Linked DNA regions of Coturnix japonica. The protein of the gene in region 2 interacts with the protein of the main gene of each other region in a biochemical or structural test. Links are inferred from orthologs where the notes say so. Each region holds a gene or a part of one and is shown on either strand. Other genes may lie near its edges. The genes, in order: GRB10 and INSR.

Evidence for each region.
Region 1: the proteins of INSR (region 2) and GRB10 form a complex in vitro, tested with the Homo sapiens proteins (5 studies listed by BioGRID and IntAct). The link is inferred for Coturnix japonica from reciprocal best matches to the Homo sapiens genes INSR and GRB10.

The regions. Positions count from the first base shown.
Region 1 is NC_029517.1:49,909,215-49,912,325, forward strand, and holds part of GRB10 (growth factor receptor-bound protein 10), read left to right. Parts: intron 1-1,126; coding exon 1,127-1,220; intron 1,221-2,003; coding exon 2,004-2,150; 3' UTR 2,151-3,111.
Region 2 is NC_029543.1:3,176,884-3,180,707, forward strand, and holds part of INSR (insulin receptor), read right to left. Parts: intron 2,806-3,824; coding exon 2,679-2,805; intron 2,046-2,678; coding exon 1,795-2,045; intron 1,485-1,794; coding exon 1,317-1,484; intron 634-1,316; coding exon 432-633; intron 1-431. UniProt on the Homo sapiens protein: Receptor tyrosine kinase which mediates the pleiotropic actions of insulin.

The DNA.
Region 1 (3,111 bases), on a different chromosome or scaffold from region 2:
AAACTAATCCAAGATAATGGAGGATGGGAACGAATTCTTGTATATTAATACAAAAAAGCTTCATGCATACGTAGGTCACTCTGAAAGTAATGCCTCCTACATGGGTTGCTCAAAAAGTAATGGTTTTTATTTATTTCTGTGGAAAAAAGTACCGATACACAATAAAAACTATTTGATAGAGCAAATTCTCAGCTACAAAGCACCACCATTAGCTAACCATTTTTGCTAGTGATGAACAAGAGCATGGATGCTGCACACGTAAAAATCTGTGTCAGTGGAAGCGACCCACAGTTTCACAGCTGCTGTGATAGTGTTGTTGCACACACCGTTCATCAGGTGTCAAGGCTGACACCTTCAGCCTCGTATTGGTTCAGTATCCTGACAATCTTGCACACGGTGTTCTTTCTGCCTCAGTATTTGAGTTTTTTGGGGCCTTCTTGGTATAAACTTTGCAATATTCCAGTGTTCCCACCATTGTTTCCAACGTATTGAAGCCTATATTCAGCTCCATACACAGTTCTGTGATTATATTCTGGAGATTTGTGCAGCTTATCTTTCACGTGACTGCTGCCACTGCTGAAACGCACCGGTCACTGCCTCACTGTGCTCACATCCACTGTTTTATCTCCATAAATGTTCTGCAAGTGTCAGTGAATGTCAGTGGGTACAGTTTCTTTTGCATGGAGGAATTCAGTGACTTCATCACTTGGCTTCATCCACACTTCCATGTCAGATGCCATTCTGTCAGGCTTCCCCTCTGCTGCCATCTGTCACATGGCAACAAAATGTAATGAAATATTGGTGGGAAGGTTCAACCTTTACTGCCATACCACCAACATCTGCCTCTGACATCATGGGCCAACTTCATAAAGTAAGAGGCATTACTTTTGAGGCAGCCCGCAAAAGGGGAAGAACATAAATTGGGGAAGAAATGATGACATGCATTTTTCACTTTCTCTTCTTCTGTTAGTCTTGCATAAGCCTGGTATAAAAACGAAGAGCAAATTGCCGGTTAAAGCAACTGAAGAAGAGTTAAACAATAGTACAAAATTACTTAGTACTTCTGATTATTTACATGGAAATGGATTGTTGTATTTACTGTGTGCTTAAAAATGTTCTCTTCTAGGCTATTTCTTCTCCGGGACAGCCAAAGCAATCCAAAGGCATTTGTACTTACACTTTGCCATCATCAAAAAATAAAGCATTTTCAAATCTTGCCGGTAAGTAACTTTTTTTTTTCTTTTCAAAACTGATAATAAAAATAGAATAAATTGTAAACTGACAGCATTGTCATCATCCAGAGAGGCCTCATTTTACCTACTAATGGCATGAACAGGCATGTTTCCATTAGGAAATACAATTCTTTAGAATTGTCAAAATTCTGAATAAAATTCTGTCTTAACATTACCTGGAAAACTAATTTAAACCACTGAGGTATAACAGTAATGCAACATAACTTGTACTTGACTGGCAGCAACAGCCGCACTTGTCTCCGTACCACTTCAGCAAACTTAGAAGAAGTTACAGGAGGTTTTAAAAAGTTTATCTGAAATTTTATCCCATATTGTTGAGCTCAAAAAAATCTTATACTGAGGCAGTGAGAACTACTTGATTTTATCTTGGCCAGAAAGAGCAGCAAAAGTTTAAGATCTTGTAGACCTGCTTATTGGCCCAAACCCTCTCATTTTGTCTTGCTAACTTTGGAAACAGCCATCAATTATTTTTGTGGTATTTTTGCTTTATGTAAGAGAAACCAGTGCTGTCTCTACAACTTAGAATTACTCTGCCTACCAGCTTTCACTTTTGTGCAGAAAAGATTTCCAGTTGGCTCAACAAAAATTCTCCTCTAGCACTGTGCCTGCTTTCAGGCAGAACTCTAGATACCGGGTTTTCTGTGCAGTGCCTGTCATTTTATGTCACATCACACACTTTTACTTGTCCTGTGTTTGCAACATTCACGTCTTCCCACGTGCTAACTTGAAAAGGACGTTTTATTTCCCCAGTGCGAGGATGATGGACAGATATTTTTCAGCCTGGATGATGGGAACACCAAATTCAGTGATCTAATCCAGCTTGTTGAATTCTATCAACTAAACAAAGGAGTCTTGCCCTGCAAACTCAAACACCACTGCATCCGAGTGGCCTTATGACCTCAAATTTGACTCTCACTGAAGACTGGATTTGCTAGAAGAGTAATTGTAAGAGAACGTTGATACTGGGGAATTGGCAGATTTGTAAGTTGGTAAAAATAAATAAAAATATTATGCACCTTGGGACTCTGAAAGGGATGGATTCAACAGGTGCCAACAGACCGACATTACTGGTTTGTCTAACACCTAAGAGTGATTGCTGCTGAGTGTCCCAGCATCCCAAAAAATGGGGGTGGGGTGGGGGAGGGTTCGTAAAACTATTAGTAAATTTGAAACAAAACTGGAAACTATCTTGGCTGGGCCACTTAACAGGAACAAGTGTGAAGATAAATCTTTGAAAAGAACTCTTGCCCTGGAATAATCTTGACAATTAAGACTAGTGTGTTTACTTTTTGTATTGATCACTTTTTTTGCACTCCTACTTTGTTTTGGATATTGTATGCAGCCTATATTAGGAGCTGATGTGGCTTTTAAAATTCATGCAGGAGTTGGGTATTAATCTGCACCCTAAAATGTATGGAATGCTTCAGCCTAAACGGATCTAGAAGAAAATCAAGAAGTGTGCGTGTCATGTGTCTGTATGTGTGTGTGTGCGTGTGTGCATCTCAAAACTTCTCTGGAGACCTGAGGTTCCGTGATCTGCAGAAGTCTTTGAAGAAGCAATGAGGATACAATTCTAACAGAACATACCACCATGTGTGTACTCTCAAAACTGTTGACTTGTAGCATTATGGCTGTAGTATGTTGTGGCATATTAGTGGCATCCAGTCATGCGAAGACTGTATTAGATTCTATGCACAAACTTTTATTATTGAAGTGGTTTGTTTTTTACAGCCTTTTGACTGTTTTCCTGAGGAAACCTACTGTTACTAAACAGAGTAGGACTGAATGACAGTTGTATCTGAAACCACCCTTTGTTTTTTTTGTGAGAAGATTCTTCTACAGGTAGTCTTAGTTAGAG
Region 2 (3,824 bases):
TTTGAGTTGCATATGAAGTGTGAAGACATTCAACACCACTTAATGTGACACCGTGTGTGCCACTCAAAACAGGACATTTACCACCCACAGCAGTTGCATTCCTCGTGGTATTGGAGGTATTTCCCACACTAAGCGTGAGGAAGACCGCAAATACCACACTGAAGGACAAGGCTGTGGCGTGGAAAACTTCACCTTTCTTTTCAACGGGATGAAAAGTGAGACCACAACATTTTAAGAGCAAAAAAAAAGGCTATTTCTGGCATCACACAAGTTAGAGCCAGCTACAGGGCTTTAGATATTTGTGGAGGATTCTCCCCTTAATCTCAAGCTGAGGAGAATTGAGAGACAGGAAACAGGGTGGGATCTTCCACATCCCAACAACAACAGGAGCAGAGCTCAGCTCCCAGCCCACACCACGCAGCTGCTCGTACCTGGGGACGAAAACCTCATTGTGAAGGTAGTTCTCAAAGGTCTTGCGGAAAGCAGACTCCTCCAGCTCCTTCTGGATCTGAGAGTCAGTTTTAGGACAGGAACAACATTCTCCGCTGACATCCTCACTTTCGCTTTGGTTATACTTCTGAGGGTCTTCAGATTCAAAAGGAGGAGACCACGTCCTTGAGGGCAGTTTTAATCCTAAGGACAAAACAATTTTACTATCGTTCATGCTTGGCATACCAGAAGTAGATGTTTGATCCTACCAAGATCCAAAACGAGCGTACACAAAATTCATGGCACATTCTGCCTCCCACACTTTCATATCTAGGGTCACATTCCCTCTCTTATGACAGGGCTCTGATTCAGATCTGTGCTAACTCTGAAATGAAGCTCAGATGTCACTGTTGCCAGAGTTCTACCCCTGTTCCCTTCAGTTTGGGAACACGGGGTGGCAGATTCTGGGAGTTCTCAGTGGAATTATGAATCCTAAAAGCATTCCAAACCCCACAGCACAAAATGCCTTCAAAAACTAACTTGGCCACTGATCCCCAGAAGTACTGCAATGTTTTACTCTGCTTTTCCACAGCCGTTATTAAACTTGAAGCTCAGTTTAAAAAGAACAAGTGCAGAAGGGAGATTCAAAAAATACATATTTGATTACTTTGTGCCAAAAGGGTTTTGAAGATCTTTTGCACATGACTTAGCAATAGTGACTAATGTAAATGCAACTGAATAGGATAACACAACTGTGTCTCAAACTCTTTCTTGAACAACAGCACCGGAGCATCTCCAAAGTGCATGAAAAATCCCCATAAATGCTGAGAGAGCTCCACCATCTGGAAGGCCTGAAAGAAGGGCACAGAGAGAGAACTGGAACTCACCCTTTAAGCAGTAATCAAGTTCATAAAGCTCACTGTCTTCCGCCTGCTGCTGCCAGAACACCAGGTAGTGTGTGATGTTGCCATTGGGCTCCGAGGGCGGCTTCCACTTCAGGATGATTTGGGATGAAGAGTTGGAAACAGAAATTGGATCTAATGGGACTGACGGAACTGTGTGGGTGGAAAAGGGACAGAGGTCACTTCCACAGCTCTGTGACAGCTCCACAAGTGAGTTCCCTTTCCCACGAACAAAGGCAGGACACATGGGCTCTCATCCACGGCCACGTGAACCTGAGGGAACAGGAGCACAACGGTGCTCCCTCCTCGCTCAGGGAAACACACATCATTCCATTTCTTTAGGAACACCTTCCCACAAAGGGAGAGCAACACCAGCAGAGTTCCACAGACATGGCCCTACTGTGACTACCCACCAGAAGTCAGCTTTTCATTCACAGTGCAACATTAAGCCAATGAAACTGACCTGTAGCGTTGGTCTGGACGTAGATGATCTCACTCTTTGCGCCGTATGTCCTTCGTTCATCTGAGAAGGTGACCAGAGTTTTAACAAACACAGCATACTGTGTCCATGGCTTCAGGCCCCGCAGCAGCCAACCTGGCTGGGCCTGGGCTTTGGGCTCGTTGGACCGCGGCGGTGGGTCCACATCCACGACCGTCCAGCTGTTGGAGCCACAGGCATCCTGCCCATCAAACTCCGTCACGTTTTGGTATGGACTTAAAAACAAACAAAAATAAGCCTCAAGTTAACAGAATCCTGACACCGAGCTTTTGGAGACATGGTGTCTGAAGGCATCCCTCACCCTCACATAAATTCTAATGATCTCATCCTGCATATCCTGTGTATTCTAGAAATAAAGCTTAGGGAGCTTTGTAACCCAGTCTCCTACCAGCACCACACATCAGGTACAGCTCCACACACAACCCAACCTCAATCTCAGCTAATTATTTTCAGCTGTGTGAAAACCAGTTTGGCAAAACCGACTTTTAAAAGTGTTTCCCATGTAAAGGGGAATAAATAACTCTGGAGACAGTGGGGAGATGGTTGGGATCTGTACACCTGGAGCAGCTGGAACAACTGATGTTGGGGTTGCTCTTAAATGAGGGATTTTGACTTTATACAACTCACTTAAGCCAGGGAATGTAATTAATACTTATATAAAGGGCAACATTGGAAACTTAAGTGTGGTCTCTGATTGTCTGACTCCTAATTAGCTACGACCACAGCAGTCTTAATGTCTACTCTTCAATGCCAAATGTCATTTGTGGAAGCCCAGCATTGGCTGGGCTGTTGTTTTGTAGCCCAACCATTGGTTGCTCAAGTTCCCCTCTCCCTGAGCTGCCACTTACGCCTCTTTGTAAAAGAGCATAAATCCCAGGAGGTCACGGAAATCAGGAGGCCAATACGGCTCCCACTTCAACAGGATCTTGTCATGGGATGTTCTAATGGAAGAGAACTTCAGCAATTCGTTTTCACCTACAACAAAACAGAAATGATGATCGTTTTGTTAACGCTGAGAGAAAGTTTTCTATTTTTCAGTACTGCAGAACTTTCTGTCCTCTGGGGAAAAATATGAGAACCTTGATATTGAGAACTGCTCATTAAAAACTTATCTTACGTCGATGCTATCCCTGCCCTAAGCCAGGGGTTGGAACAGATGACCTCCTGAGGTTCCTGCCAGCTTACATTTTTCTACAACTCTATGAAAATAATCCTATAAAAGCTGAACTGAGTTTTACTGAGTGTGAAATCTAAAGGCAACATGCTTTAAAATTCACGACAAGATAAACACAGAGACCCGGTAATGGGGTCTGCATCCATTCTGTAGGCACCGCCTCGCCCAGGGGCAGCACGCTCCCTTTGCAAACAGCAGCTCAGGACAACAAACAGTTGCAGGAGGGGTGGAGCATTGATTCTCAAGGGAAGCATTACCATACGGAATGTCCAAGCAGCCCAAGGACAAACTGCACAGCCCTGATGGGATTTGCCACTCCTGCAGTAGCTGCACACGGGGTGAAGAACATTCACTTTGCTGTCCACACATCCAGCACAAACAAGGTGTTGTGTCTGGGAGTTGGTTGTGTGTGTGTTTTTTTTTTGTAAACAGGATGCTGCCAATGTGAAAACTAAAGTTGAACCATAAAATCATAAAGCCAAACACACCAGCAACGTGTGGTCTGAGGTGGAGGGTGGCACGGAGAGCAGCACAGCAAGGCAGGGTTAAAGCTGGCATGGAGAAATGCGACCCTGTGGTCCAGCTGCCTTCAGCACAAAGCAACCAGCCAGCCTGGGAGCTGCAATGCCACAGGAGAGCTGGACCTGAACCCCAAATCCAGCCTCATCCCGAATGTGGGAAGGCCTCGCCGCTGTCTCAAGGGAGGAGATGACCTTTTCAGACAGCTCACTCCTTGTGCTGCCTTCACTCTGCCCAAGCAGAGCTGCGATAGCCCCGAGGCTGCGGCTCAATGCGTGTTTTCACATTTTAGGTAGGTAAT